Linked DNA regions of Arabidopsis thaliana. The protein of the gene in region 2 interacts with the protein of the main gene of each other region in a pairwise test. Each region holds a gene or a part of one and is shown on either strand. Other genes may lie near its edges. The genes, in order: AT4G26770, GRP18, AT4G03600 and AT1G47530.

Evidence for each region.
Region 1: the proteins of GRP18 (region 2) and AT4G26770 interact in a protein complementation assay, tested with the Arabidopsis thaliana proteins (one large-scale study listed by BioGRID).
Region 3: the proteins of GRP18 (region 2) and AT4G03600 interact in a protein complementation assay, tested with the Arabidopsis thaliana proteins (one large-scale study listed by BioGRID).
Region 4: the proteins of GRP18 (region 2) and AT1G47530 interact in a protein complementation assay, tested with the Arabidopsis thaliana proteins (one large-scale study listed by BioGRID).

The regions. Positions count from the first base shown.
Region 1 is NC_003075.7:13,477,969-13,487,263, forward strand, and holds AT4G26770 (Phosphatidate cytidylyltransferase family protein), read left to right. Parts: upstream 1-4,095; 5' UTR 4,096-4,250; intron 4,251-4,583; 5' UTR 4,584-4,611; coding exon 4,612-4,818; intron 4,819-4,890; coding exon 4,891-5,305; intron 5,306-5,380; coding exon 5,381-5,522; intron 5,523-5,596; coding exon 5,597-5,753; intron 5,754-5,844; coding exon 5,845-5,892; intron 5,893-5,969; coding exon 5,970-6,056; intron 6,057-6,144; coding exon 6,145-6,273; intron 6,274-6,356; coding exon 6,357-6,413; intron 6,414-6,488; coding exon 6,489-6,572; intron 6,573-6,639; coding exon 6,640-6,729; 3' UTR 6,730-6,975; downstream 6,976-9,295. Other genes in the region: EXT-like (hydroxyproline-rich glycoprotein family protein), read right to left, coding at 135-235, 321-414; MAP65-2 (microtubule-associated protein 65-2), read right to left, coding at 866-1,159, 1,237-1,385, 1,474-1,561, 1,655-1,966, 2,044-2,199, 2,362-2,577, 2,654-2,899, 2,984-3,187 and 1 more; AR192 (Co-chaperone GrpE family protein), read right to left, coding at 7,098-7,196, 7,292-7,420, 7,500-7,667, 7,752-8,195, 8,449-8,592. UniProt on the Arabidopsis thaliana protein: May be involved in the synthesis of minor phospholipids and in modulation of IP3-mediated signal transduction.
Region 2 is NC_003076.8:2,377,949-2,385,442, reverse strand, and holds GRP18 (glycine-rich protein 18), read left to right. Parts: upstream 1-4,125; 5' UTR 4,126-4,212; coding exon 4,213-4,457; intron 4,458-4,793; coding exon 4,794-5,235; 3' UTR 5,236-5,545; downstream 5,546-7,494. Other genes in the region: GRP17 (glycine rich protein 17), read left to right, coding at 948-1,366, 1,553-2,765; GRP14 (glycine-rich protein 14), read left to right, coding at 6,680-6,930, 7,255-7,494.
Region 3 is NC_003075.7:1,601,779-1,608,850, reverse strand, and holds AT4G03600 (pyrroline-5-carboxylate reductase), read left to right. Parts: upstream 1-4,222; 5' UTR 4,223-4,542; coding exon 4,543-5,031; 3' UTR 5,032-5,213; downstream 5,214-7,072. Other genes in the region: AT4G03630 (RNI-like superfamily protein), read right to left, coding at 49-101; AT4G03625 (F-box/LRR protein), read right to left, coding at 141-335; AT4G03620 (myosin heavy chain-like protein), read left to right, coding at 186-258, 727-867, 997-1,811; AT4G03610 (Metallo-hydrolase/oxidoreductase superfamily protein), read right to left, coding at 1,934-1,991, 2,070-2,179, 2,274-2,309, 2,390-2,454, 2,553-2,658, 2,747-2,888, 2,986-3,116, 3,220-3,361 and 1 more; AT4G03590 (Cystatin/monellin superfamily protein), read left to right, coding at 5,901-6,090, 7,002-7,072.
Region 4 is NC_003070.9:17,446,500-17,455,500, reverse strand, and holds AT1G47530 (MATE efflux family protein), read right to left. Parts: upstream 3,949-9,001; 5' UTR 3,778-3,948; coding exon 3,508-3,777; exon of another isoform or gene 3,214-3,507; intron 3,113-3,213; coding exon 2,917-3,112; intron 2,828-2,916; coding exon 2,482-2,827; intron 2,386-2,481; coding exon 2,299-2,385; intron 2,214-2,298; coding exon 2,157-2,213; intron 2,065-2,156; coding exon 1,707-2,064; intron 1,625-1,706; coding exon 1,538-1,624; intron 1,445-1,537; coding exon 1,391-1,444; 3' UTR 1,040-1,390; downstream 1-1,039.

The DNA.
Region 1 (9,295 bases), on a different chromosome or scaffold from region 2:
AACATATAATAATCAAAGTCAAACACATCATGAGAATTACTAAGAACCGGTCCTTTCAAATCTAAACAAGTAAAAAATCAAACAAGCTGAAATAAATCAGAAAAACTCACAATTTAAAACTTCAAAGGTAATACCTTTTCGAGTTGATTAATGAGAGACATGAGAATCGAATTGGTGGTCTTAGTTCTCTCGCTCTGCGGAATCTTCAATCCTCGTTCCATTGCATATAGCCGACCTAATCAATCACAAAATTCCATGAATACACACAATCGCAGGAGGCGATCATCTAGGTTAGATATAGATAAGAAAACGAAACTCACAGTAATAAGCAACAAGTGGTTCATGCTTCTGCAGCTCATCGGCACGTTGCAGGTAAGGCAGAAGAGCCCTGGCTGGTTCGTTTGGGTTCGACATAGATTCTCTCTTCTCTCGAGCTCCGTAGCTTTTTCTCCGATTGATTTGTTAAGACAAAACAGCTCAAGAAATTTTCCTGTATTTAACGCGCTTCTGATTGCAAACTAGAAACGACGTCGCAGAAAGGACCTCTAAAATCCCAAACCTTCTTGGAAACTTTTTAAACTTTTAAATCATGCCCAAAAGATCTTTCAGTATATTACAATTTTGCCCAAATATTATTTCGTAATTCCAATTAGAACCTTGACTTTCATTCACTAAACCGGTCACTTCACATTAGTCATGCTAACAAGTACCAAACAAATTTGAGTGAATGAATACAGAAACAGAAACATCTAAGTAACATTCTACTCTCATTGTCTTTGTTTCTAAGTGTTTGTTTCTTAAACAGCACTATTAGCAACTAACAAAAGTGTAAGTAAGCATTATAACTCTCTTTCTTTTGATATTGTCACGGTGAAGCCATCACTGGGTCAGCACGAGAGACTGGAGATGCAGCATCATCTTTTGTGTTGGCTACAATGTTCGAAGGTGAAGCTATCTTGTTCAGACTGTCTCTCTTGGACTTGCTTCCGTTCTGGTTTGAGTTCATAGACAAACGCCTCATAGGAGTTTCGTTGAGCCCTCCTCCATTGACTCGTGTTCCCACCGGTTTCTTGGCACTAACGGGTCTTGCAGGGCTTGGTTTAGACCCAAAGGCGGATTCTTGATCTGTGTGTGGCTGTTCTTGCTGCTTCTTCTGTTCCTGTTAATGAAAAGGCAAGATTATTTTAAAAGAAGTTAGTTTCAACAATCGGTTTAACACAGGATGAAACAACTTACTTTCAGCCTCCGCTTCTCATCTTCTCGTTCTTGCCTAAGCATAGTGTATTCATCTAGCATGGCGAGTAAAGGAACTCCATCGTACTCAAAGGACATACTGTTCTCCTCTTCCCATGCCCGGGTTTTAGCAATCAACGTGTCAACCATAGCTTGCACAAACAAAGTATGATATATTCTTCAGTCTCAGTTTAATTCTATGTGTAGTAATAACTAAGAGAGACTTTTGGAAGTTCTTACCAGTAATCTTGCTGACCAGAATCCGAGCTTTCTCAGCTCTCTTGAGATTCAAATGCGCACCTCGGCTTGCACTATACCTGTTCTGATCCTGTTTTTCCAGAACAAAAACCCAAAAGAATCATCAATTGAACTCTATGCTTAATAAGTAATGTGTTTATTAACATAGCCAATGTTAGCATACTCGATTGTAATCTTCGAGCCAGCTCTCTTCCTCACAAGCTGACATCCATTTCTCTACACGGTCTAAAATTTCTTTTCTACTAAAGGCTTCCTCCTTGGCCTTTGCGATCTGGCTATCCATGTCAGCCAGTAACTCAGTAGGTTCAGTATTCCCAGCATCAATCAACGACATGATCCTCTCACGAACAACCTCTGGTTTTATTTCTATGTGAGCACGAGCATATATCTCCTCAAGCTCTGATTGCTTTTTGAATGCAATTTCCTTCATTCTGCTAGATTTCAGTTGATCAAGCCTATCCACTTCCACCTCAGCCTTCAAGAGTTCACAGAAGATTTTTAAAAGCAGTACTTATCATACACATTGATTGATACATTACAAATTTACGATACCTGTTCGATAAGATCAAGTGCGAGAGCACCAGAGGCAGTCACTTCATGAACTGAAGCTGAAATGTTAGAGGTAACATGGTCAAAAAGCTCCCTTTCCTCATCAGAAGTATCCATCAGATTCCATAGATCAGTTAGCTGAGTAGCTAGTTCTTGAAGCTGCATAAAACCAAGATACATTAATGAAATCCACAAACAAGAATGGTGCAGAGAAAAGTTACAAACTTTCAGCGCAATTAATCAGAAAGGATTTCAACATATGTGCAGCCTAAACTGACCAAGCTCATGTCAGAGATCACAAAGACCATGATTTTGACTAACCTTCTTAAGTCTTTGCATTTTATCTTCTTTAAGAGTCAAGACAGTCTTAGCCAACCTTGCAAGTGTTTCATTGCTAATGCTCTTGGTTTGAACACCATTTGCCTCATCTAAGCTCGGATGAACTTCGGTGACAGTGCTTAAGAAATCTAAACGAAGGACGGCACATAGATCATGCACCGTGCTCACAAACTCGAGCACCTTCTGTAACCTATCACTCTGCTCAAACACAAAGCAGTTTTAGTTCTGGTTTGAACATAGGCCACACATAACCATATCCCAACTAATATTTTACCTTCTCTTTCTGGAGCTCTTGGAGTTTCCTCTGGAAGTCATCTAATCTCTTTAGAGACAAGTCAGTCTCATCAACCACATGAGGTCCATTGTTCAATCCGCCAGCGATCTCCTCACATATCTTCTGAATCTGTGATTGTACATCAGAAAATGCCCGGACCCTTTCCTCTTTCTGTTGCCAAAGTTGTTCAAGCGCAGGTGCTATTGCAGAAAGTTGTTCTTTGATCGTTCCTGAAGTCTTATCAGGCTGCAATGGAAACAAAGACATTGAATCACACTACACTGTAACCATCTCATCTCTTTACCACTTGTAAGACGTGAGATTACTTACAATGTCGATATAGCTTTTTTCCCCGAGAGCAGTTGTGAGATTGGAAAGTTCAACAGTGGCATCTGACAAAGTCTGAAGAAGCTCTGCACGAGATTTTGCGGCTAGCTCAACTTTCTTTTTGTAAACATTCAGACACTCTTCCTCAATCTGTAGAAGCAGTTTGTCTCGTTCTTCATCACTCTCCCCAACCTCATCCCAGATTTCCTGTAACAAGTTTGTACATTGAGTTTGTGGAACCATATATTAAAAGGATAAGTGTGTATGTTGCGAAATCTACCTGCAACTTCTGTAGTAAGGTGCCACAAGTGATTTCACCAAGAAGAGGATTTTCTGCTTCTGTCACTGCCATTCTTGTGAAGTCAAAAGGTTTCCTACAAAAGTAGAAACAACGAACATATTTAGTGAAGATCCAAACTAACTATACACTAAAAGAAACCAAAGTTGCAATCTTTTTTAGAAAACCAAATTGAATCAGAAACAACATTTTGAACTTGGGAACAAAAACACATCAAAGAACTTAGTGAAGCTAAGAATGTGAAACTAAGCTCAAGAAAAGCTCGAAAGGAACTTCAAAGAAATCAAACAGCATTGGTGATAAAACCAAAGCCAAAGCAAGAAATCAACATTGAAGAAGTAAAGAGGCAATGAGCTGAAATGAAACTAATCGAATCCAACAAGTAGAAGATGGCTTTCTTACCTTAATCGATATTGAATCCAAATGGTTTATCTTCCTCTCTTTTAGATCTGAAGCGACGAATAGTCACTGTGAGAGTAAGAGAGAGAGAGAGCATAGGAAACAGAGAAATCTCCAACTTTGGTTATGGAGGTTGGGAAATGGGAAAAGTGGGACCCATTTTACGGAACTCAATAATTAATGAGGAAAAAACAACAGCAAAAAGGTGAGAGACCCTGTCTTTTCGCGTTATTTACTGATTTGACCACTGATCTCACAGACCTCGTTGACTCCTCATGCTCATGTCTGAATAGTTAAAAGGCTTTCCTTAATGGGCTTAAATATCTGACCCAGCCCAAACAGATCAAGACAACACGTGTCACTCATTCCGGGTTTAAACATGAAGCAGCGACATGAATAGTTTATTGGTTCTCTCTTCCGATGATTTGATGAAACCTCACCGCTAAGTGCTCATCCACCACCTTCCTCCTCCTCCTTCTTCCCTCACCTTTTGAGTTTCTTTCTTCACGTTTCTTTTCATTAATTAGGGTTTCGCATTTTCAATCACCATCATCCCACCACGTTTTCGTTAATGTAAGTTCATTCTCTTTTTTCTACTTGTCATGATCCCATTTTGTTGCAATGTTCACTTATGAAATTTATCCTTTGTATGTGAATCATCACGTTTTGCTTTGATGAATCATTTAGATTTCTAGGCTTACACATTCAAATCTAAATCCTCTATTATATGCTTGTTACACAAGTAATCTCTCATCAGATATCAATGTGTGTGTTTCATTAAGACGTGTATAAGCTCGAGTTATGGTTGACATTTTGAAATTATAGATCAACCCCAAATTCATTTCCTCGGATGTATAAAGAAACCCAGATCATCATGATTAACTGAATTTCAAGAACTCAATCCAGGAACTGAGAGCATTTCCTAGGGATCTCAATGGCAATGGAGAAAGATCTCAGTCCAAATTCTCCACGGATTAGAAAGCTAAGGGATACTAGTTACCCTACTACACCAACGTCTCGAATGAATACTAATAACCAGAGAGATAACCATTATCCCAACATTCCTAATTCACCAAGGGATTACAATTATACTCCTAGCTCTCCAACAGCTCGCATTCGACACCGCAGGCGATCAAGCGAGGTATCTATACAATGTCATACTCTCTTTTCCGGTTGAATCCAAAATTTGATTGTCTTTTTCAATATTGATCAGAATTTAGCTGAGGTGAACAGAAGCAATGTAAGCAGAGTAAGCAATTTGTTACTTGGTGATAAGAACAAGTACAGATCAATGTGGATAAGGACATGCTCATCTCTCTGGATGCTCGGTGGAGTTGTGTTTATAATCTACATGGGTCATCTCTACATTTGGGCTATGGTTGTGGTTATACAGATATTCATGGCCAAAGAGCTCTTCTTTCTTCGCAGAAGAGCTCATGAAGAACGTCGCTTACCCGGTTTCTGGCTCTTGAATTGGCACTTCTTCTTCACGGCTATGTTGTTTGTCTATGGACGCATCATTCAACAGCAGCTAGTCAACACGGTTTCTTCAGATAGATTCATATACAAGCTTGTGAGTGGTCTTATCAAGTACCAGATGGTTATTTGCTACTTCTTGTACATCGCAGGTTTGTCTGTTTCTTTTTTCTTCACAAAAACAATACTCTCTTTCTTGATTTATTAACAGCTTAAGTTGGATTCAGGTCTCATATGGTTTATCCTTACATTGAAGAATAAGATGTATAAGTATCAGTTTGGGCAATACGCTTGGACACATATGATCCTTATCGTTGTCTTTACTCAATCTTCTTTCACCGTCGCCAATATTTTTGAAGGGATCTTCTGGTACAATGGACTCTTATATATATCCACTGAAGCATAATAGTTTTCCCGAGTGCTAATTTCTTTTAAATATGCAGGTTTCTTCTACCAGCAGCACTGATTGCTATGAACGATGTAGCAGCTTACTTCTTCGGTTTCTATTTCGGGAAAACTCCGCTCATCAAGTTGTCTCCAAAGAAAACATGGGAAGGTTTCATCGGAGCATCAGTTGCAACTATAATCTCTGCATTTATTGTAATAACCTTCTTCTATCATTTATTCATTCGTTCGTAACTCTTTCTTTTGGTCTCAAGACTGATAGATTATTATCTGCTTCGTACAACAGTTTGCTAATGTCTTAGGCCAGTTCCAATGGCTTACATGTCCAAGGAAGGTAACAAAAAGTGATATCTCCATCACAATATTTTGTCTCGGCCTTTACTTCATCCTTGTGTTGCATATCTTTTGCAGGATTTATCAACTGGTTGGCTTCATTGTGATCCAGGCCCTCTCTTCAGGCCAGAGTATTACCCATTTCCCTCTTGGATTACTCCATTTGTAAGCAATTAACTGTCCTCTCGTGAAAACCAGCCGATGATGTTGTCTTGTTTTGAAACTGAGCTCCGTTGTGAACTTTGCTTAACAGTCTCCATGGAAAGGGATCTCGACCCTGCCTGTCCAATGGCATGCTTTTTCTCTCGGTCTATTCGCATCCATTATGGCGCCTTTTGGTGGCTTCTTCGCAAGCGGTTTCAAAAGAGCTTTCAAGATCAAGGTTAACACATTTTTCAAACATTAAAAGGTTTTGTATCTACAGATCCAAGAACAAATATTTACTAGTTTATGTCGCTTTGACAGGATTTCGGAGACAGCATACCAGGACATGGAGGATTTACTGACAGAATGGATTGCCAAGTAAGAGTCACTAACGTCGAAAAGTGCAATATGATCTTTGCATCGTTTTAAACGAATCTTGTTGCCTAAATGCAGATGGTTATGGCGGTTTTCGCATACATCTACATCCAATCTTTCATTGTTAATCGGGACTACAGTGTCGAGATGATCCTAGACCAGGTAAGAATCATCATATAAGCCAAGAATACGGAGGCATTGTAAATAATTGATTGTATTATACCTGCAGATATCGAGGAGCCTGGGACACGAGGAGCAGAAAATGCTTTATGAAAAGCTCGGAGACATTCTTCAACATAAGTTGCAAGGGAGGTTTTAAATAGTGAGTGCAAGTTTTGTGACTCTGTTTTCAGCTTCTTTCTCTATGGTTAGTTTCTGGTTGTATCAGACCATGTAAAACCTTGATTTGTATCTGATTTAACTAATCAAACAGAGACTTGGTAATAGTGTGCGAGTAGAAGAGATGTAAAATGATATTTTCCTCGTTCAATTATAGCATGGAGATAGAGAAAACAGACACAGAAGCAGGATTTCCCCTGCAAATGCCATGTCCAGCAACTTATGGGAGATCTTGTTCATCTAATGAATAACCAAACCACAAAAGAAAACTATGACTCGAAGACTCGAGAAGATGTTAATGGAAACATAGAACCGTAACAAAATTTATGAAAACCAGCTGACTTCTTCTTAAGCATCAGACTCTTTCTTTTCTTCTTGGTTCTCTCCTCCCTGGGTAACACCAACCTCAGCTGGTCTTATAACTCGGTCATACAGCGTGTATCCAGACTGCACATATTGACACCCATCATTACTAATTGGTATTTAAGACTATACAATATGAAATAAAGAGACAAAGAATTGAGCAAGCTTTATATATTTACCTTCAAGACATGAGCAACTGTGCCTTCTGGCTTAGAAGCATCAGGGACTTGGAACACTGCGTTATGTCTGTTTGGATCAAATGGCTCGTTTATAGGATCATACTTCTCCATACCAAATTTCTTAAATACCTGCAGCGGCACACATGTTTAACCGGTCTCATCTGCATTGCTTACTTAAGGTCTTATAATTACATTTCTCGATATTTACCTCAGCAAGCTGTTTCTCAGTCATCTCCACTCCTTCTAAAAGGGTCTTTAATAGTGGAGCTGCTCCAGCAGAATCTTCTGAGGTGTCAAGCTTTGAGAAGCTTTCTTTGACAACCGAAGAAGCTCTTCCAAGATTATCCGCCACATCCAATAGGCTCTTTGCAAAATTCTGCATACATATATAGTGAATATATATATTTCAGAAAACTATTATATGAAACAAAAGCTGCAAACCAAGTTCTTAAAGACTAACCTGTACGGCATACTTTTTGGTGTTTTCAGCATCACGTCTTGTTCTGTCCATGACATTCTCCATCTCAGCATAAGTGCGAAGAACTTTGTCTTTCAACTGCTTAATCTCTTCTTCCTTCTCAGACAGTAGCTCTTCCTTCTCAGCTACGAGCTTCACCAAATCATCGGCTGACAATTCATCATCATCACTCTCAGAATCTGATTCAGAAGATGAAGATGCAGCTCCTTTAGCACCTTTCCGCTTTCTTTTTGCAGAATCTGTCACAGAATCTTTAGATTCAGAGTCAAGACCTGGTTGGTTTGCCTCAGCTGTAGGTTTCTCTTCACTTGTCTTTGAGGCCTCAGTGTGGGTCTTCTTCTCATCTGATTCAGGCGAGGTAGAGGAAGAAAAATTGAACCTTTGCAGTGCAAACGAATCCATCATAGACATCTGAGCTGGAACAAGCTGCCCCCAAAAAAAAAAGTAAAATGGGTTAAACTCAGTGAAATGATACAGAGCAAAAACCTATAGAGAATCTAAACCATTCTTCTATTGTTTATTCATATATCTGAAGATTCAAACATAAGAGATCAAGGAAACAGTATCAGAAGATAGCAATCATTTCTAGAAACTCAAATGAGGGAAAGCCTTAAACCCTAACAAAACCCTGAATTGCAATTTCGGCATGAATAGTGATTAATTTGAGTGAAAATCGAACCTTATGCGAGAAATCGTGAGCTAGGGAGTGAAACCGGCTCGAGAAAACAGGAGTCTGATTCCTCGCCGGAAGAGTGACGGCGGATAGAGATGAGCGTATGCCCGCGTTGCGGGTTACTCGCGACAAAATTCTCAAAACCAACATCTGGAGATCCACCACAGATGAACAAACAGAGATCAAGAAGATAAGAGAATCGAATCGAATCGAAATGTAATTGTTCTGAGGAAATTGTTAATTTGCAGAGGCACACAGAGTGCTTGGTGGATGGATAGTAGAATTCACAATTCTCTCTTTCGGGGTTTTTAGTAATTTACGTAAATAGCCTTACCGCTGCACGAGCGGGCTGAGGCTAAAATGATCGCTTTGATTCGGCGAGCCTGTGAGGGTATTATTGTCATTATAGCAAATGGGAGATTTTGAAAGCTAATTTGAGAAGCCTCTAGAAAGAACCAAAGGTACTTGTATATCTTTGGGACAGACGAAGTCCATTTATCTCCTGGGCCTGATTGGTACAGTCCTACCAAACAGAACAAGCAGCAGTATGTTACTGTTGCTAAGTGGTTTGGCTTTTTTAGTTTCATTCTTGTGTTTAATTAAAATTGCTGGATTAATATAGAGGTTGTGTAGATTTGACGTCATTTGGATGGGAGAATTTGGAAATTAATGTTCAACTACTTAATCTATAATTCAACAAACGATAAATGACCACTTAATTGCTAATAGCCTCTAGTTAATTCAAAACGCAAACCTATGTTATGAACCACTTGTCAATAAATTTATAAATCTTTAGTTGAGACTCAAAAAACAAAGTTACTTTATCGGAAATGTCACATTTGACGCATGAGAG
Region 2 (7,494 bases):
GGGATTCTTCAACAAAAATCACGGAACTACTTGTATATATGTATGTGTGTATCCGATCGAGGTTGACTTCCGGGGTTGGACGTTGAAGAAGACGAATTCATTGATTGGGCTTATATATGGGCATGTATTACTTGGTTCAAGTTTGTAACACTTTTAGCTTTTTCAATTCTATTCGAAACCAAAATATTGGGCTATATATCTTCATACAACCTTCAAGATAAATTGGACCAATTTTAGAAGAGCAAATTGAACCCGGCCGTTAGCGTTAGCCAAACCCCAACTCCTTTTCAGTACAATTAAATCAAGAATTTCTAATAAATCGTGAATTTCTAGACATACATATCATAATTTCGTCAAAGCGAGCCTACACCTAGTTTTGAGCTACATAACTCTTTTTTTTTTTTTTTTTTATGATTAGGAGGTTTCAAAACCCTTGGACCCATAATTTCTTATAATTAGTTTTGTAATACTAAATTCACCATTGAGAGCGACCTCTCGTCACTAGTAATTCGAAGATCTCATATTCATGACCTATATTAACCATCTTCCAGTCAAGTAATTTCAATCGAAATTCATCAAAATCATATATTTAACTTAGTAATCACATATGATATGGCTAATATACGTAATATAACGATAAAGATTTCTTCACGCTTTGATATTCCATAAAGCAATGGAAATATGGAATGGAAGAAAACATTTGAATTTTACAAGAAACAATAAATAGAAGGCCTACAAAACATGACAACCCACACACACACACACGAAAAGAGAAAATATAAAGAAGGACATGTAACGTGACGTAGCGTAGATCTCCATTCACTCCAATCGTTTTGCATGGAGCATGCATGTGTGTGTACCGTGCACGTAGTAGAGACCACACAACTCCTTCATAAAAGCCCTCTCTCTCTTACCATCACCAAAACACAACAATCCGATCAGAAAATATGAGCGAAGAACTAAGTCAAAAGCCATCATCAGCTCAGTCTCTGTCACTGAGAGAGGGCAGAAATAGGTTTCCTTTTCTGTCCCTGTCACAGAGAGAGGGCAGATTTTTTCCTTCTCTATCTCTTTCAGAGAGAGATGGAAGAAAGTTTTCTTTTCTCAGTATGTTCTCTTTTCTCATGCCACTGTTGGAGGTTATTAAGATTATTATTGCTTCTGTGGCCTCCGTAATCTTCGTCGGTTTCGCCTGTGTAACCCTCGCTGGTTCTGCCGCAGCATTAGTCGTAAGCACCCCGGTTTTCATCATATTTAGTCCTGTTCTCGTACCAGCTACGATAGCCACGGTTGTCTTGGCGACAGGATTCACGGCCGGTGGCTCTTTTGGAGCGACAGCACTTGGTCTCATCATGTGGCTTGTTAAGTAAGATTATTATAACAGCTTATATTGAGATCACTCGAGATTTATGCTTAATTATATAATATTCATAAACCTATAGTTTAAAAGTATATTGAACTTCATTTGTTAACGTACTTTATAAATATTGAACTTCGTTCGTTTTCTTAATTGGTCTCTAAGTATATATACATACTTTTTTGTGTGATGCAGACGTAGGATGGGAGTAAAGCCGAAGGATAATCCACCTCCGGCAGGACTTCCACCGAATTCGGGAGCAGGAGCAGGAGGAGCTCAAAGTCTGATCAAAAAGTCAAAGGCAAAGTCTAAAGGTGGGCTTAAGGCTTGGTGTAAGAAGATGTTAAAAAGTAAATTCGGTGGTAAAAAAGGCAAGTCCGGGGGTGGAAAAAGTAAATTTGGAGGTAAAGGCGGTAAGTCCGAAGGTGAAGAAGGTATGTCGTCTGGGGATGAAGGTATGTCTGGAAGTGAAGGAGGTATGTCCGGAGGTGAAGGAGGTAAATCCAAAAGTGGAAAAGGTAAACTCAAAGCTAAACTCGAAAAGAAAAAAGGTATGTCCGGAGGGTCCGAGAGTGAAGAAGGTATGTCTGGAAGTGAAGGAGGTATGTCTGGTGGTGGAGGAAGTAAATCCAAAAGTAAAAAAAGTAAACTCAAAGCTAAATTGGGAAAGAAAAAAGGTATGTCCGGAGGCATGTCAGGAAGTGAAGAAGGTATGTCTGGAAGTGAAGGAGGTATGTCCAGTGGTGGAGGAAGTAAATCCAAAAGTAAAAAAAGTAAACTCAAAGCTAAATTGGGAAAGAAAAAAAGTATGTCCGGAGGCATGTCAGGAAGTGAAGAAGGTATGTCTGGAAGTGAAGGAGGTATGTCCGGAGGTGGAGGAGGTAAATCCAAAAGTAGAAAAAGTAAACTCAAAGCTAATTTGGGAAAGAAAAAATGTATGTCCGGAGGCATGTCAGGAAGTGAAGGAGGTATGTCTCGAAGTGAAGGAGGTATATCCGGAGGTGGTATGTCTGGGGGCAGTGGAAGTAAACACAAAATTGGAGGAGGTAAACACGGAGGTCTTGGAGGTAAATTCGGAAAGAAAAGAGGCATGTCCGGAAGTGGAGGAGGCATGTCAGGAAGTGAAGGAGGTGTGTCTGGAAGTGAAGGAAGTATGTCCGGAGGTGGTATGTCTGGGGGTAGCGGAAGTAAACACAAAATTGGAGGAGGTAAACACGGAGGTCTTAGAGGTAAATTCGGAAAGAAAAGAGGTATGTCAGGAAGTGAAGGAGGTATGTCTGGAAGTGAAGGAGGTATGTCGGAAAGTGGTATGTCCGGGAGTGGAGGGGGTAAACACAAAATCGGAGGAGGTAAACACAAATTTGGAGGAGGTAAACACGGAGGTGGAGGTGGCCACATGGCGGAGTAAAGAACAATGGTCAAGTTGTTCCAACATTAAGCAGATCATTGTGCATTAGTTCAAGATTGTATGATTGGGAAAGTAAAAGAAAGAAAAAAATATTTTCTAATAAGTTTTATGTTTATATGTAATGTTGAATCTGATTATTATGATAAAAAGACATAAATGTGATACAATGTTTATTTTAAGAACAATAATAATGTGGCAACAGTTTTAGTCCATTCTGTAGTAGAATTGCTTCTGTTATTCAATTGTACGTAAGCATAGTTTTATAGTTAAAATGAATATAAAGAGGATGTTTCCCTAGTTATTTTCTATCTTGTATTAGATTTTCTGGTTCAAAATAAAAATTCAACTAACAAAGCAGTTTGGGTTTGTTGACAACAAAAATAAGCTACAGAAGAACTTAGAGACGCATGGTATGAATATTTATTTGAGGTTTGAAGTAATTTTTTGTGACCGCAAATTAGTTGTTAAAGGTTTCTAAGAATCATGTGTTAAGTTTATATGAATAGTTTTCAATACATAGTTTCTCACGTTCCAAGACTTTTTTCTATCATATATCTCACCAATGTAAGCCTTAGGACTCGAATTTGGGGCTAATACTAAAACAGCATCCCTTTTTCTTTCATATGTGATATGTATCATAAGAGCCCTCTAATATAGTCGTGTGGTTGAGTGGTTTTGGTGAACCTTCAACAACATTTTTTCCGTCTCAAACCTTCTCTCTCTCTCCATCCAACGGAAGAATAGGTGAACGGTTCTCGGGTTTCCGGTTATTTAGTTGCATTCTTAAGCGCCCCTTAGTGTGTTGAGAAATAGCTTGGACCAAACCATTCACCAAAGATCCTCTATGTAGTTTTGTTACGCATGATTGTATTTTAACAGCCAAGTGGTAGAATCTTGTTATCACCTTTTTAAAAATGTTTCATATATCTCCCCAAAATATATATATTCCTGAAAAAAGTCGAATGTATATGCTCGGCCTTCTCATGTTTCGACAATATTTTATTTTCGAATCTAATACAAATTTATTTTACGAGATTTGAAAATTAAACAGCATATTGCAATATCATCAAGCCGAATAGAGATTTACTGCAACCATCATCCGTAAAATCAAGCAAACTAGTATTCATCAAACTTCCACAAAATCTCGCCTCCTTGAATTTCTTTCGAAGCCCCTATATTAGGTTGTTCCAACCGTAAACATGAATTGCAACACGACAATTAATGTTTGAGCTTTTTAGAAGAAAGAAAAGATGGCTCAAAAACATGACAACCTAAAAAAAAGGAAAAAAAAAACAAGAAAGCAAAGGTGACGTGACGTAAATCTCTATTTACGATCCCATCGTTTTGCATGTAGACCCCTAACAACCATCAGATAACAAAGTATGAGCCGAAGAACTCCATCAAATCAAATCTCACTCATCAAACTTTAACATTTAACTATCACAATATGTTTTCTTTTCTTATCTTCTTGTTGGAGGCTTTTCAGGTGGTTATTGCTACCGTGGTCTCCATAGTCTTCTTAGTGTTCGCGGGTCTAACACTGGTAGGTTCAGCCACGGCATTAACCATAACAACACCGCTTTTTATTATATTCAGTCCGATTCTTGTACCAGCCACGATAGCCACTGCTGTCATAACCACAGGATTCACCACGGGTGGCGCACTCGGAGCGATGGCCGTTGCTCTCATCAGGTGGTTCATTAAGTGAAATTTTGTAAAACTATAGTCATTTTTGTTTTATGAAAAACTTGTTCAATTCTCTTTTTTTTTCTCTATTCTATCTTTGATTCTTTTCACATATTCTAATTCATTTATTTTAAAGAATTAGTGTACCCTGTGTACACTTAATGGTCTTATTAATTCTTTAATGTTTTGTCTTCTAACTTCGTTGTCTATTCCATCACAACCCATGTTTACCTTTTCTTGAAACATCATTAGAAAAACTGTCAACGTGATTAATAAGAAGTGGTACAATTTTGTTTTTAATACATAAGTAACCTTTGTACGCACTTGTGAGTATATATGTAGACGTAGGATGGGAGCTAAGCCGACTGCGGAAGGAACTTCGTCAGCCCAACCTCTTCTCAAATTGCCAGTTTATGGTGGATATGGAGGATTTTGGGGAGGAAAGAAATTTTCTGGAACATTCGGAAATAAACCAGGGGGTGGAAATCCGTTTGGAGACATCTCAAAATGGCTCGGACCAGGGGCCGCAGGTGGAGGTGCACCTGGAGGATTAGGAGGGGGCGGAAATCCGTTTGGAAACATCTCAAAATGGTTCGGACCAGGGGCCGCAGGTGGAGATGCATCTGCTGCTGGTGGTGCACCTGCCGCTGAAGCTGCACCAGCCGCTGGAGCTGCGCCTGCCGCTGGAGCTGCGCCTGCCGCTGGAGCTGCGCCTGCCGCTGGAGCTGCGCCTGCTGCTGGAGCTGCTCCTGCCGCTGGTGGAAGTACACCACCCACATGGTAAAGGAAATAAGTCAAGTTGTTCCAACATGTATATTGTGCATTGATTCATAAGGAAACAAAAGCTTTTTAAAACGTCTTTTGCTCATATGTATTCTCCAAGGTCAAAGCTGCTTACACAAGACTATGCTACAATGTTCATTAATTTATAGTATAAATCATATAGCTCGATGAACAAATGGGAACGTATAATGTATAATGTACGGTCGACTCTTAGACCATGTACATTGCACATTTAGTCGGCATTGTAGTCTGTAAATCATACTATATCAATTCTTAAGGTTTTTATATACTAAGTAATTTTAAATTGAAAATTGATTTCACTATTTTCAAATTTGTTATCTATAACAAAGCAAATTGATTATTGAATATTTGAAGAGAAAAAATAATAATTGAACTGAGAATAAATTATATATTTCTAATTAAAAATTACGTTACATTTGTAACTAAATTTTCTTTCAACAGCTACATTTTAAAATATCGTATATATAGTCAATCAAATTGCTGTTTTTTTTTTCTGGTCAACGATCAACAACCCAAACTTTTGATGGTATATACTGACAAGCGAGAAGTTTATTATCTATGTAACGGTTGCATGACTAGTGACTAGTACAAACTTAGCCAATAAACTCTGTTTTCTTCTAAAACTCTGTTTTTTTAACATTTGTGCATACGATCGAAACTGCAAAGACTTATAGAAGATCAAGAATCAGTTTACATGACATAAATCATTACAATTAAATTTACCATCTACATGACAAGATCTCGTATCTTGAATCTTGATCGCTACTTAGTGTGTTGAGAAACAGTTTGAAACAAACCATTCACCAAAGATCCCCTCTGTAGTTTTATTACGCATGATTGTCTTTTGACAGCCAAGTGGAAGAATCTTGATATCACCTTTTTTCAATGTTTCATATATATCCCCCAAACTTAGAAGAGTTTTCCTGAAAAAATCGAATATGCTCGGCCTTCTCATGTTCGACGATATTTTATTTTTGTATAATTATCTAAACTCTCCCACTTGGCCAACCTCACAAGAATCTCTTACAAATTTAATTTAGGAGATTTGAAAATTAAACAGGCATATTGCAATTTCATCAAGCATGAGAGTTTCGATAAAATCAAGCAAACTAGTATTCAAAATTCCACAAAATTTTGCCTCCTTGGATTTCTTTCGAAGCACCTATTTTAGGTTGTTTCAACCGTAAACGTGAATTGCAACACGACAATTAATCTTTGAGCTTCTTACAAGAAAGAAAAGATGGTCCAAAAACATGACAACTCAAAAACAAAAACAAAAAAGCAAAGGTGACGTGACGTAAATCTCTACTTACTCCCATTGTTTTGCATGTATAGACCCCTAACAACCATTTAATAATAAAGTATGAGCCAAAGAACTCCATCAAAACAAATCTCAGTCATTGAAATTTAACATCTATCCCAAAATGTTTTCTTTTCTCATCCTCCAAGTGTCGGAGGTTTTTCAGGTGGTTATTGCTGCCGTGGTCTCTATAGTCTTCTTAGTGTTAGCGGGTCTAACACTGGCAGGTTCAGCCACGGCATTAACCATAACCACACCGCTTTTTATCATATTCAGTCCGATTCTCGTACCAGCCACGATAGCCACTGCTGTCATAACCACAGGACTCACCGCTGGTGGCGCACTCGGAACGATGGCCGCCGCTTCTCTCCTCAGGTGCTTCATTAAGTGAAATTTTTAAAAACTAAAGACTTTTGTGTTTTATAAAAAAACTTGTTTAATTCTCTTTTGTCTATCTCTGATTCTTTTGACATACTACCTCATTTATTTTTAAGAGTATCGTACACTGTACACATTAATGTTCTAGTATTAATCTTTTAATGTTTCGTCTTCTAACTTTTGAGTTGTCTATTCTATCACAACCCATGTTTACCTTTTTTTGAAACATGATATATCATTAGAACAACTGCCAACGTGATTAATAAGAAGCGTTACAATTTGATTTCAATTTATAATTAACCTTTGTACACACTTATGTAGCCTGCGACGTAGGTTCGGGCGTAGGAGATTTGGGGGACTTAGGAGATTTGGGGGAGGTAGGAGATTTGGGGGAAGATTTGGAAAACCAGGGGGTGGAGGATTAGGAGGTGGAGGTTTACCTGGAGGATTAGGAGGATTAGGAGGTGGAGGTTTACCTGGAGGACTTGGAGGATTAGGAGGAGGCGAAAATCCGTTAGCTAAAATCTCAAAAATGTTCGGACCAGGGGCTGCAGGGGCCGC
Region 3 (7,072 bases), on a different chromosome or scaffold from region 2:
TTGCGAGTTATATATGGAGTCTAGAGAGACAGAAGTACAAAACATAACCTATAGGCGACGAAAGTGAGGAGTTCATCGGCGTTAAAATCTTCATTGTTCATAATGATGTCGTACTCAATGATTTTGAGGCTCTTCGGGATTCACATATCGATTTTCCGCCACATTGAAGGGTCTTTGCAGACGCGATGCCATGGTCTGCACACTTTCTGAGCGTTTTCAAGTATCTCAACCACGCCAAGACGGTGGAGGATGGACGCCGTTAGTTCCGGCAGAAGCTCCGCCCAGTTTCTCGGTTTGTCCTCGTACTTCATAGGCGAAGAGGAGGAAGAATCCATTTTCTGAGTACCTCAAACGTCAAGTCAAGTTAAATGAGAAGAAGTGTAGTAAAGTTTCGGACCTTTCGGCTTCTCCACAAATTTACAATTTAGTCCTCATAGTATAACAAAACAAATGTTCTAGTGATATATTGGGCCGAAGGCCCATTATGTTTTTATCTCACACATTTACATGGTTAACATTCAATGTTAATTTTTAATAGGAAAAAAAGTTAGAGCGTGAAATGAGGTAAGACAGGCAAATTTAGTTGAAAAAGGCATAATCTGTCCACTAATTACGCCTCACAAAACATGGAAGTTGCAAAAATACAACAACCTTTATCTGTTATTTGTCCAAATTTCCAACATCTTCCTCTGTTGATCATTTTTTTGTCTGATTGATTCTCTCCAGGCGGCGTTTCTGAACCGGAAAACATGAGCCGTCTCCGAGCATTTTCTGCGCCGGATTTAGTCCCTTCAGATTCTGGATCTATTACATCATCACCAACAAGAACCATAGAGCACCAATCTCATGAAGATTCTGGTTTGGAAGGTAGATCAATCACATTCATCTCATAAAGATCGATTTAAGACATGTTTCATTTTCCGTTTTGGGCAAGAAAACAACTTGTGACTTGCATGGCAAGAAATATGTTAAACGTGTTCTTGTTTCTGTTTTAAGGAATCACTACGAACGTGAAGCTACTGCTGAAACTCGTTCAAGATCACAACGAAGCAACATCGAGGCACCACGATGATTGGAAAGTTCAGAGAGTCAACACTATGATGACGATTCTCGATGATCTAAAGACACGAATCCAGAAAGCTCAACAACAATCATCATCTGGGAAAAAAGAGCTTAGACGATGCTACACCGATCTGAAACGGAGTCCTGATCTAACCAAGAGTCCAACAAAGCCACCACAGAACGATCCTGAAGATATTCAGAAACTGAGAAAAGAGTTAAGCGCGAGTATGGCTGCAAGAAAGAGTCTTCAAATGATGTGTTCAAGTTTAGGGAAGGAGAAAGAGATAATGGCTTTGGAGCTTTCGAGGAAAGCTCACGAATTAAACGAAATGGAGGAGCTTGTAAGTGATTTTAGGGCTCAAAATGAGAAATTACTTAAGAAAGTGCAGAATTGCGCGGTAGAGCATAATAAGGAGAAGAAAGAAGATATTGATGGTCCAGGTCCAGGAGACAACAATGTGCCTCTACAGGGAAGAAACAAAGAGTTGTCTGAACAGCTACTCAAATCTATTGACGGATACCGATCTCTGAAAAGGAAATACAAAGATGTTCAAGACGAAAATGGATCAATGAGACGAGCGCTTAGAGATTATGCAGAAGGAGTGAATGTTGGGACTCAGAGACTAACCAAGTTGCATGAAAAGATCACAAGAGAAGATGAAGTGAATATTGAGAATGAGATTTCAAATTTAGAGAAGTTGTTTCAAGGGCTTGGTTTAAAGATTTTGAATCATTCCCAGAACAAGTAAAGAAACAGAGATTTTCATTACTGTATCAAAATATAGATTCTACTCATATAATTTTGGAAATTTTTGTCATTTGTATTCTTGATAGGTAACAAGAATTCTAAGATTTGTCTTTAGTAATTTGCTCATAGGTCTATTGGAAGCCGTAATCCGTCATGAGCAAGCTGTACATGGATTCCTTCCCTAGAAATCAACATAGTCTCTATTAGCATTCAACGATGTTGATTTATAGAAATCTTATAACATTGTTTCATTGCATACCTTAGAGACCATTCTGCAAGTATCTCATTGTATTCATGGTGATCAAACTCGTGTGTCATACCCGTTAAAAGCGCTCTCTTTGGACATAGCCTCTTTAAGATCTCAAGAGCCTAAAGAATAGGAATATTGAAACTTACTCTCAAAAAGGTTTAGAGAAGTGAAGCATTCTTTGGGAAGAAAAAAAAGAGAACCATTGAAACAAACCTCTGTAAAACAGATGTGTGTGGGATGTGGTCCTCTCTATTATCAAAGAGATGGTCAGCAAGAAAGGTTATCAAGATCGAAAAAGCGGTAAACAAAAGTTATGAGATGATGTGAACCTTCCACGGTATATTTGTATCCAGGATAAGAAGATCTAACTGTCCAGCCCCAGCTTTGGAAATAGCTGCTTAATCAAAGATTCATAAGAATATCAATCTTTCTCTTTAGTAGAAGTGAACTACAGAGGTATAATGATTAGGGCATAACATAATGAGCTCTTACCATACTCGGTACTCGGTGGAATCCGTGATACGTCTGATATATAAGCCACTTTACTTTTATCGCCGAAGAGGAAACCTAAAGCAATGTAGTCCTCTCCATGCATCACCTAAAGCATAACTAACATTGTTGAGTCTATAAGGTCTCATGGAAGAATTAGACTGTTTTGATTTCTCAAAAGTGAAAAGAAATTTAACCGGAAGAGGCGTGAAAGATAAGCCCGAGGCAGCGAATGGTTCGTCACAATTCTCTTCGATGTTTTTCCAGTCAAGAAGTGAAACTCGTCTAGGTACTTCTTTTACCTTCTTTTCAACCAAATAAGGAAACCTTGTAGCAATACTGCACAATTTTTTGTTGCCTTAAAAGTCTCATCAAATGCTAATTTGAAAAGCTTTAAGCCAGAGTTGAGATAGAGAACACTAATCGAAGATGGTACCTCTCCATTGTAAATTGAGATAGAAAGACGGGAAGTGGATCGGTATCAACAATAGTTGCACCACGAGGTTGAAGAGATCGAATTTCATCTAAGCCATGAACCGCATCTGCGTGCTCATGAGTTAGAATGATCTACACAAAATCATACAAGCATTAGTCAGTAAAAGTTAGATTTCATTTCAGAGAAAAAAATAGATGCAAGAGATCAAGAAGATAAGTATATAAAGGGCTTAACGGAATCGACTCGAGGAATCTTATAAAAGGTAAACCAACGAAGGACTTGCTCTCTAAAACTCTTGCCAACATCAATAAGTATGTACTTATGTCTACCATCTTCTTCCTTGCTGCAATAATCAATCAAGAGCGATGTATTGCATCTGCCAAAAAACAGAGAATCAAGATTCAAGAATGTTCACCAAACCCTAATATATCTGAAATAATTTCCCAAGAACACTAGAAATCGGATGGTTCATTTTTACCTAAAATGGATTAAAACCTAAACTCCAACACGAATATAGACAACAGTAGATGTCTCTTTTTTCAATCAAAACTCCCAACTTCAAAAGGGTCTTTACGGAAAGCAACAAGATTTGACATTTCACAAATCTCCACAGCTTCAAAGACCAAAACCCAAAGAGAAGAAACTGATGACAAGATTTACCTGTAGTTAGGGTTAAGGTGAGGAAGTAAAGAGAGGGACTGAGAACAGACATGGCAAGGAGGATCTGACGGCTGGAGTAAGCATCTGAAATCGGGAACTGCACCGGAGCAGCCTGTTCCAAGAAAGATCAGAGCCGTTCCATCATCATCAGATTGATTCTTCTCCATCTTCTCAAGATTCTGATCTTCTGGTTGGTCTAGCCAAAGCTGATTAATGCCAACGGCTATATCTTTGTTTATTGTATTAGTTGAGATTATATGCGATCCCTTACACAAACTTGTCTTTTTCACAGTATATATATTCCTTTTATTAACATAAAATATCTAAGCCATTACTTTGAGTCTTTGACACTGATATATGTAGTCATAATGATATTGACTACTAATTTTTCCAAACAAAATAGTAAAAGATTAATGACTTACCCCACAAATCCACCGGATTGTGATTTTTTTTGTTATATATCATTGTTTGACTCCTCTAAATTAGAAAAAAATCTTCTACATTTCTTTTTCTGTATAACAAAATCTTAAATTTAAATCGTTATGGTAACGAAATCTTTTCTTTTGTTTTTCCAGTTTATTGATTAAATATACTTCCACAGAATTTAAATTTACTTAATTATTAAAAACAATGCAGTCACAATCTTTCCAATTACCATTTCATTATCTCACAAATTCGACCAAATGTTTTTCATATTTCACAAAAAAAAATATATTAAAGCGCGTGTGAACCATAACCACGCGATTGCCAGCTCAAAAACAAATTCACAAAGAAGCGTACACGACACGCGCTACGACTGAGTGTAAGGATTCTCATAAACTGCTCTATTTTATTTTGCTCAGTCGCAGACAAATCTCAAAACAGATTCGATCGATAAGCAAGAACTTCCAATCTCTAATGGCAGATCAAACAGAATCTCCAAGATCGTATCATATCTTCATCACAATCATGAGTAAAAGACGGACATGGGTTTGTCTCTTCATCGCTGTCTACGCAATTCTCGTATCTTCTTCATGGAACCTCCTGAGATCAGTTCTTAACTGGTACAAGCTTCAATACACGTCATCAAATTCAGATTATTCTCCTTCAAGATTACCGGCGGTATACGCGTCGGTGGTGCTCGGTGCGATGTTTGGAGCTATGTCGATGGTGGCTGCTATGACGGTGGCGGTTCCGGCGGTGATGGTGATTTGGATATCGGTGGTGGTGTTGCTTGCCTTCTTTGGGAAATCAAGAAGAGTTTTAGTGGTTGAAGGAAGGAAGATTACGAGAGAAGTTGTCGGATTTGTGTTTAAGGTTCTTTTGAAAGAAGGCAATGTTGTTGCTGCTTTTTGTGCTGTTTTAGCTTATTTTCTGCTTATTAGAAGAGATTTTGACTCATATTAAGGTTCTTGATTTTTAGATTATTTAGGGAATTTTGATCTAGATTATCTTGAGTCACTCCCGAATGTAAATGTAAAGTTAATTTAGAAAATCAATTGTTAGTAGTAGAATGAAGAAGTTCATGATGCATTGGCTCAATTTTTTTTGTTTGTGGTTAGATAATTTTTCTTGATGACAGCATTTAGTATCTAGAATGGATCGTCCCACAACTTCTCATTTGAGATATTGAAAATCATGATTTGTTATCCGTTTGTGGGTTCATTGCCACACAATTTCAACACATGGACCAATAACCAAGTGATTTACATATCCTATTAAGTTTGTTATCAGTTTTCACTATTTAAGTTACCCGGTTATTATTTTAGTAGCTTAAAACTACATCAACTAGTTGAAGAGGCATGTTTTGCGAAGATAAGATCATATAATAATGGGTTACACAACTTCTTTCTTACTCAAATTCCTTCTTGAGGAAGGTGTAACATTCCAACATTGAAGTAGTGGATTTCACACACTGATACTTATTTTTATAAGTACCTTTCTTGATAAAAAGAATTCTAATACCTCAACTAAAAACTCTAATTTGGGGAAAAAAATTAATGTCTGCAAACCTTTTATAACAAAAAATTCTAAGAACTCTAAAATCATGAAAATGCGTGAATCTTTTTGTCTTTGGAACATATATTGTTGAACTTTTTTTTTTAACTGAGCAAAAAAAAGAATTTTTTTTTGAAAGACCAAATTGGATGACAATTATGTTAAATTTCACATGTTTCTAGGATAATAAGGTAATTTAAATACCATCGCTCGGTCTAGAGAATTACATCTTAGGATTTTGGGATTTCAGATAGAGGATTAGGGTTTAGTCGATCATCATGGTCCTCAATCAGTGTGCAAACGTGACGATGATAGAAGAAAAGTTGAGCAAGTTGATGGAAGAAATCGAATCTGTGGAAGCTGATGAGAGCGAAGATACCAGTGACGACGAAGAAACCAAAACAAACGTGCATGAGGCTAATTTTGATATGTTAATGGCGCCTGAATGGGATGTGCATAGCTTCGAAGGTTTGGAGTATTATACATCTTCAAATTCGTAACTTTCCTTCGATGAACAGTCTTATCCCGACATGGAAAAAGCTAATAAATACTATCATATCTATAAACTATATATCGTTAAGAGCAAGGTATGTAATCCAACTCTGTTTTGCGTTTGTTTGATTCCCAAGACTTGACCAATATAGAAGACTCGAAGGTATGTTCTTCTGTGCGTTGGTTTTGAAAATTATCAAACAAAAAGATTAGGTATGTCCGGTAAAGAACAGAAACTATCTTATCTCGTATTCATCCGAGTTTTTGTCATATACAATACCCGTTTTTTCTGTCAAATAATAATCTTGTTTTTAATATGTTTAACTTAATGTAACAAGTATGTCGTTACGTATGTCCCAAAATTTTCCATTTTTAATATTATTTAAATATATGAATAATTGTCTCAAATAGACCTTTAAATATCCCCAAAAAAATAGAACCAATTAGCTAGAATTCGAAAAATAAAATTTAAATTTTCAATCTTCTCGTTTCGAAGTTTTTTACTCATATTATATCAAGAATAGTTGTGGTAATTTTTTTTTTTCTAAATTACTCAAATTATTAGTTATGGTAATGTTTTTTAAACTTTAATTTTTATCTCATATTATATCTTTTACATGTTATTTTGATTATTTACAAAAAGAAGCAAAATTCAACAGAAATCTGAGTTATTTTTCAAAATGTCCCGAAAAGAAAATGAAATTAGGAGGGCACTTGGGTTAATATCACACACGTTTCCTGGGCAAAAGGTAACTAGGTGATTTAAAATCTAATTTAAATACCATCGTTATTTCCAGAGAATCTTCCGATTTCAATTTCCCAATTTGTTCGGATCAGAGAGAGTTTTAGGGTTTAGTCGATCAACATGCTTCTCAATCAATGCGCAGAGAAAACGATGATAAAAGATTCCATGGAAGCATCTTCTTCAGTGGTGGTTAGTTCGTGCCTGAAAAAGCGT
Region 4 (9,001 bases), on a different chromosome or scaffold from region 2:
ATAGAAAAAAGGGAACGATAGCGTAAACCAAAATAATCATTTTTACTATCTTTACAAAGTTTAATTAATAGGTTATTGATGTATTGTATACCATATACAACATTGCATGAGACTCGAGTTAATTTTGTCTTTATTTACGATCTTGACTTACCACAAAATCGGAGCTCTTGTAGATTTTCATAATATTTCAAAAAAAAATCGTACTATTATTATTGCAAATATCAATCGTTTCAGATATAAGTAAAACATCGAAACTTCAATATCTTACAGTAAAACCCAACTATAAGATTATCTTTTGACAAGTACTCTTTTTTTTCTTCATAAATTTCCAATAATAGAGATTACAAGGTCAAAAGACTCAAGAGAAGCACGCATGCCCAAACAGGAAAACAACAAGACGCTAAACCATTATTAATTAGTTATGTCCTTAAATCCATGCAAATCTAAACCATTCACAGATTAAAAAAAAAAAAGATAAGTTAGACTGTAATTGTATATATATTGGTTGATTTACAGAGTTTGATATATCATAAAATGTATCAAACAATATAATCATTAAATGATGTTAGTTTGATATTTCAGAAAATGCATTTGTTACCATATTACGGAATCCATTATCCTAACCGTGACCGAATTGATGAAAAGGATTAGTGCATGGGTTGATTCACAATTTGAGCACTATTACTTGTTTGTGTATTTATAGTAAATCTCCATGCGAAAACCAAACATAGTAATTAAGGGTAGACTATCTAGTATATAGCACACAGCTCTCGACTGACCTAAATTTTAATTCAAACACTTATGAGATGGGCAGACAAATTTACTGCTTTAACGGTTAGTCTGTGACCCTGATTCATGAATTGTTGTAGTCCATCTCTAATATATTGTATCGTCACACAACTATTTTGATATTCATTTTCATCTTCTTTTTTTCTTTTTAATATTCCTCTTGTTTATATAAGATTTGTTAATTTTTAGTGACTGAGTTGCAACAGATCAACGACAGTCCTAAAGATCTGTTGCTAATACCACCACTAATTAGCTATGTTTGACAAACGGTAAGATCTTCGCCTTCAAATGAACATAAACATTGGATCAAGTCTGACCATTAAAATAAAAACGAAGGATCAACAAGCTTATGAAGATTAAATCTCATACTTAAAATTAATCAAGAACTTTGGCTTAGCAACAACCATCCTAGAATCTAACATAAGTCTAACACATAACAAACCGTACCCCTCTAACAATCACTGAGAGACTCGTTAACTTTAAGCATATCAAAAAACAAAAAGAGATGATGTTGTTCTCCGATAAACAATTTTCTCAACATTGAACATTGACAAAAAAAGATCAATAACTGATATAGTCCACGTCCTAAGGGAGTTGTTGATCACTCCTGCGCCGTTCCTCCCCATCTCTGAACTCGACTCTCCGCTTGCTCAGCCTGCATAATTTAGAATTCAAAGCTAATTAATGAAATGATCAAACCAAACACAAAGGAGGAACATAGCAGCAACTAAAAGACAAAGTAAGAGACCTCTTTGTTCCAGTTAGTGAAGTAGATGATTCCAATCAATATAAGTGTCTGCAAGCATATTCCAGCTACCATACCTCCCCATATTCCCTACAAAAATATACAAATGATTTAACACCAGATTAAAAAGAACAAGGCTAATACAAAATGGTCATATTAGTAAATAGCTAACCTGAACGCCGAGGTCTAGTGTGAATCCAAGAACAAGACCAGCAGGTAGTCCGATAATGTAATAACACGCAATGTTCACGTATGCAACCAGAGCCTGCCACCCCGCTCCAACCGCAACCCCTGACAAGACGGGCTGGAGGCTGTTCAAGAGGACAGTGAAGCCCAACAAGACGGCTATTCTCGTGGTTTCTGCTGCCACAGCTTCGCTTGAAGTGAAAAGATAAGGGAAGCTGTCTTTTGTGGCTAAGACAACAATCATGCACACTATCCCGATAAGAGTTGAAGTTATGGAGACGACTATCACTGAGAATTTGGCTAACGCTGCGTTTCCTGCACCCAGCTCATTCGATACTCTCACACTGATCACACCAAGAGACAAAGTTCACCAGTTCATGAGATTTTTATTAGCTTTCCAAATGTGGCTCCTGAAACATAAAGGTAGAGAACTTACCTAATCGCAGCGTTAAACCCGATCGAAATCATGGCAGTCCACCCTTCTATATTCATGCTGTGAACCCCAAAACATAAAATATGTTACTAAACAAACCTATTTTCAGTGAGAAACTAACCAAAGATCAGCACAAATTGATTACCAAATGGAGATGGCATCGACTGGTATCAACGGGTTAGGAAGGAGACCGGTAACAACAACCAGAACCATCAAGTACCAAAACTCCAAACTGCAAAACAAAAACAACTAACCTTTCATTACAAGCGAAGTCTCAGCTAACGTAAGTCTAAAGCTATCTTCTAGCCAAAAAAAATTGGATAGGTACCAAAGCATAAGAGCAGAGGCTAAGGAAAGTTTGACAAATCCATAGAGGTCCCGAAACGCTAGCATAGAAAATCCAGTCCACGCACCGTCTGATTTGGTGATTAAGATATACAAAAGCTGACCAATAACAATCAACCACCACGAGGTATTGAGAGTGATAGCTGCACCTACAAGTCCCCACTTAAAGTAAAGAATGAAGAGCCAGCTAAAAACTGCATGTATAACTAAAACCACTCCAGAGATCCAAGCCATCACAAGAACTTTCCTCTGTGACTGCAAGAATTTCTGTATCGGGAAGTTGGCTGCATAGGCAAATAGTTGCGGGATCATCCACAATGCGAACTTCCCTGAAAATTATAACAACGCAGAAGTTGTTACGTGAACATTGACTCCAAACTCAAAACCAATTGGCAAAAAGGAATAACAAGAATGATACCCGCGGCTTTAGAGATGTGAGGAGCCTCGCCGAAGAAGGAAAGAATAGGAGGAGCCCAAATGTAGACGGGAAGCAAAAACAAAGCAGTAGTAAAGAGAATGACCCATGAACGTTGCATATATATTCCCATCATCCTAATCTGTCCCGCGCCATATGCTTGTCCACACAACGTCTCCAATGCACTCCCCATCCCTAACTGCCACCATTTTCCATCATCAAAATGTTTATATTGTTTGATCTCTAAGCTTTTTTCATAGGAAACTTAAATGACAAGCAACAAAATTCAAGAGAGCTTACACAAGGACCCTCGTAGAGATTACTTGTATAACAAATATTATAACACTGAACTCAACTACATTAATATATCTACTTTATTTGAATATAAAACACACTGTTAGGATTTACTTAATCACAATTACGAAACAATTTTAAATGTATGGGAAAATCTACTTCATTGATATTAACGAATATTGATATTAATTAATACAAAAAAAGTCCTCAAATATTGACTTTTATTTCTGTGGCTATTATTAGAACACATTATCCATTACCAAGAACCTGACACGTGTGAAGGGTGTTTACGTAACATACCATGACACCGAAGGCAAGACCGGAGATAACAGAGTTTTCAACTGAGACGGCGGCGAGCTCAAGTTCACCGAGACGGCCGGAGAAAGTCTGAGTGAGAGCACCAAGAGAGTATTGACTTATGGCAGTGAAAATCGCTGGTCCTGCTAACTCCCAAAGCCGCTTCGACTCTTCGCCGAACTCTTTGGCCCATACTTTTGACGCCGACTTGGTTCCGGTGAGTTCCGGTGGCTCACGAGGGTCAAGCAACGGCAAAGTCTTATCCTTTCCCATGTGAAAAAAGCTCTGTTTTAGTTTCTCTTCTTTGCTTTCTCTTTGTTCTGACTTATGATATATGTATATAAATACAGAAGATGGAGACACACTAGTGTGGTAGGTGCCATAATGAATAGTCTAAAAAGGTCTGACATGAGATCTATCCAAAAGAAATAAACCGCCAAAAATGACTAAACGAAGGTAATGGAATTATTTAGTACATATTCTATAGTTTTGGTATGAATCGGCCTAATTTGGTAGTTAAATATTATCAGCATAATTTCTTAATATGAATAAATCTCAATTTAATGGGATTGTTAAGAGTATGGATTGGTTGAAAACTTGAAATGATAGTGTGATATGATAACAAAGATTTTTGTAATAGTTTATTTGGTTTTTGTTTTTGGGCCGAAGTTTGGGGCCGAAACTTTAAACACGTAGTTGAATGCAAGAAAAAAAAAAAAAAACTTGTGGTAATATGAAGAAGTACGTATGTACTAGGTAGGTACACTTTAGTTTTTCCTAGAAGGAGTTAACCGAGTCGTACAAGTAATTAAAATTATTGTGGACAGTGAATATAATGGACCAATGAGGACTTACCAGCTCGTTAGAAATACTTCGACCAAGGTTAAATATAATCAGACGGCTCTTTGAGTCCTAAATTGGGTTCAAAGGGTGACAACGGCAATGAACATTTAGTCACTTACCCTATCGCATTGAATTGGTGGATCTTGTTTTTATTTTCTTTTTAATATTAGGTGTTGGTGAAAGTGCAAAAGAAATTAATAAAATTGATGAACCAAAAAATCGACAGCATTTTGTAACAAGAAAAGCTTTTACACTGTCTGAACTTAACCAAAAGGAGAGTGAATCATGCATGGTCAATTGGTCATTGGTTAGTGCTCAAATTAACCATTGTTGTGAGAGCGAAGTTGTTGTGAAACTAAGAGAAATAAAAAGTCATGAACCAAATAATCGACATCGTTTTATATCAAAGAAATGCGAAAATATTACTTTGAACTTTAACCAAAAAGAGAGTGAATCATGGTAGATGATTATTGAATCGTGATCAAATTAACCATTGTTGTAAGAGCGTAGTTGTTGTATCATGGGATTCTTGCGGTAGTGAGGAAGCTATGTTTCAGAATAACTAGTCTATACTGAGAGGGATGAATCCTCGTTGTATCACATATTGCATGTGGACTCAAAAGATTTCACTCCTTGGTTGTTAGTTTTGTTCACATATTTCTTTTGTTTCGAAAACTAACATAGATTAACTCTTGTGAGTATTTAGTTACAATATCAAACCGTGGTGGCCTAAGCTGCTTAAGGTTACATCGATTGCCTCTGAAGGAGATATGGATGGTGTGATTGTGAAAGATATTATGGAGAATATTAAGGAAAGAGGTGATATGAGGTTTGGATCGAGGTTGCATTTTCCTGATTGCAGAGATGGGACGACCGGGAAGATGAACTATGTGTGTGATGAAGCCAGATTACGGTTCGAGCTCGGCTCTCAAAGAACGGCAACTTTATTTAGAAAACGCTCTGCTTGTCCCTTGATTGTTTAGCGTTCAAACTGTTGGATATTCCTTGCCTTTAGATGTTGAGTTTTCCCTTTAATAAAAAATACTATAAAAGTGTATTGTCCTACTACAGCTTTGATTCAAAATTATCCAAATTTATCCCAAAGAATCACTTTCTTTGCACTAATGAAGTAATGAGGCTACCACATTTTGTTTTCTTACCTGAAGTGAGCTAATATCTAAAGAACCAGACATTATATAAACAAGTGATTGAATACAAATTTGATTTCACATTTGCATATGAGAATTTAGTAGTCATACAATATTGAATAATTGCTCAGAATGTCCTTTCCACACTACCCCTTTTCAATTCTACCTTTTCTTATTTGCCATTTTCATTTATACCTCTTTAAATTTTTAATGACCATTTTACTCATATTTCGAAATTGTTTTAGGTTAACAAAATGAAATATTAATATTTTTTCGCCTAAAATATTCCAAAATAAATTTCCCACCAAAAAATTTCGAAAAAAAAATTTCCATCAAAGTTTTTTTCTCAAAAACATTTTTCCCGCAAAAATATTTTTTTGGCTGGAAATAGATTTACAAGGGATTTTAAAAGATCTTTAAAGGGTTTAAAAGGGTTTTAAAATATTTACAAGGGATTTTTAAAGGGTTTTAAAAGATTTTTAAAGGGTTTAAAAGTGTTTTAAAAGATTTACAAGGAATTTTTAAGGCGTTTAAAATATTTACAAGGGTTTTTAAAAGATTTTTAAAGAATTTAAAAGAAAACTCTTTAAAAACTCTTATAAATCTTTTTAAAACCTTTTGTAAAGGTTCACAAGAGTTTAAAATGGTTCAAAATTATTAAAAGGGTTTACAAGAGTTTTAAAAAGATTTTTAAATGGTTTACAAGGGTTTACAAGGGTTTTAAAGGATTTACAATAGTTTAAAAAAAAATTAAAATATTTACAAGAGTTTTAAAATCCTTTAAAAACTCTTGTAAGTTTTTTTAAAACCTTTTGTAAAGGTTCACAAGAGTTTTAAAATGGTTCAAAAAGAATAATAAATGTTTTAAAATACTAACAAATTTGTTTCTAAGAGTTAAAAAATGATTGTGAAGACTTTATAAGAGTTTTAAGAAGATTTTAAAAGGATTTACAAAGGTTTAAAAATCATTGTAAATCCTTGTAAATCCTTTTAAAACTATTGTAAAAGGTTTAAAATGATTCACAAAGGTTTAAAAGGGATTTTTAAAGTATTTACATATGTTTTTAAAGACTTTATAAAGATTTTAAAATGATTTATAAGGGTTTTTAATAACTATCAAAGCTTTTAAAAAACTTTCTAAGGATTTTTAAAAGGATTATTTTGGTTGAGAAAAAATTTGTTACGGGAAAAACATTTTGGCGGGAAATTTTCTTTTTGGCAGGAAAAAAGTTTGGCGGAATTTTGTTTTGGCGGGAAAAGTAAATTTTGGCACTAAAAATTTGGTGGGAAAATTTCAGTTCCAGTTACATGTTTTTATTAGATAAGGGTTATTTGGTCATTCTGTTCAGATGAGTGGTATTTTTTAAAATGGATAACATAAAAGTGTATTGTTGCAAAAGAGTAGTAAGAAATGGTAGTTTTGCATATCTTCCTAAAATATTTCTAGTTTAGTTGTCAGTTTCCTAAGAGAGGATACATATATCTTGTAAACCATTTGATGTAATTTGTTGGACAAAACATTATTTGAGATTAGAAAGAAGTATGTAAGAAATTTTACAAAAATATTATATATGATATTATAATAATTTATTTCATGTAGAAAATGGAGATGGATCTTCCGAATTTGATTTTCTTCTTGTGAAATGGTGGGAATTGATATTTTCAAAACTCCATCGTTAAATATGCAAAAATGTAATTTTCATTATACATATGTAATTTTGAATTAAAAACATAAAAATATAACCATCAAAATTTTCATTTAGTTTGGAACTAAAATATGAAAATGAATGATAAGTATAATCTAGTAATTCGTCATAGATAAAATAATATGAGAACAATCTAAGAAATATAAAGATAAAATTTAGAACCAAACCTTTACAATGATGTCTCAATTAATTTTTCAACCCAAAAAACAACACAAAAACAAAGAAAATATTTAAGATTTAAGATATGGTAGAAGTGAATGCGGAAAAGGTATAAACTGTGATACATGATGTATTAGATGTGACGCCTTTGAGAAAACAATTAATCATACGCTTTTTCTTTACCATCCAGCGTATGATTAATCATACATGATTTTATTGTGAAAAATGTGTTAATAAATCTTGGCATCGTGTGAATAAATTTTGAAAACTCAAACTGCCTTATTTTGAGAAGGTTACTCTTGCCCGTTAATCATTTTTTCATTGTTTTTTTTTTTCAAATCTATGAAGTAAGCCATGTGACATAATATGATTTGTTAGGTGATTTGTACTTTATAAGATAAAGGATTATACGTGTTTGATCAAAGTAAAATTAGTCCTCCCTCTTGATATGCAAATGTCGAATATTATTCTTCGATTTAAACCGGAATTCTACTTATAAACTATTCACAACCAAACAAACAAATATCTTAAGGGGTGAGAAATTACGACAACGAAAGAGTCTCGTAATGCCTTTTGTTTTGTTTGTTGCAACTCGTGTCACATCTTCCATCGTCTTCACATCATTGGGCCGACTCTTTTGCCTCTTAACTTCTTCATCTCCTTTCGGTATGTTATCACTTCTGCTAGTACTAGCTGTGTTATTTTCAATGAAGACTTTCTTCCACTAAGCAAGTAAGTCTTCTTTGCCCCGAATGATGCTTGTTTCAGACAATCACTATTTGAAATATTTGGTAAGGGTTGCTTTATTCATTCAGATAATGTAAGTATTTATACACAAATATTCTAAGGGTTTTTTCTTGTACATAAGATCCATTAAGGCCCGTTACTATTATATAAATCTAGTGTCGTATTCAATTAAAAAATATTCTGCCTAAACTAATTGGAGTTCTATGTAGTTATAATAGATAATGCCACTTAGAAAACTCTCTAAACACAATTTATGTGTCAATACAGTTGGTTCAACTCTTGTAAGCTCACACTAAACAAATGGTGTGGTCGGTTTGTTGTCTCTTCAGTACATCACCAATTACTAAAGTCCCTCAGAAGAAGTTAAATATATATTACTTAAGACTTTATCTTTAACCAATGTGTATCCTAGAGTAAATAAAATATTTCTGTAATGATTATTATTATTTTTTAATTCATAAATCTTTTTTTTTTAATTTTGTTTTTGCATTCGTGATACCCAACAAATTTTCCATTTTTGAGGATTTTACTTACATACAATCTTTGATGCCTTTGAAGAATTTTTGAGGGCATGAGTCTTGCTGTAAAAGCAATGTTAGGGACTATTACAAATCAGAGAGAATGAAGATAAGAATAGAAAGTTTATTCATTCATTCATCATAAAGAATCAATCTGTACAATTGCTCTGTTATATACAAGTGACTAAACCGGTCTAAACCATCTAACTTATCTAAACCGAGTATATACACTCAATAGTCCCCCTCAAGATGAGCTGAATATGTTATGAAGACTCATCTTGGATTTTAAATGAGTGAACTGATGCGGAAACAGAGCTTTATTGAGAATATCTGCAACTTGATCTTCTGTTCGAACATGAAGCAGCTTGATAATCCC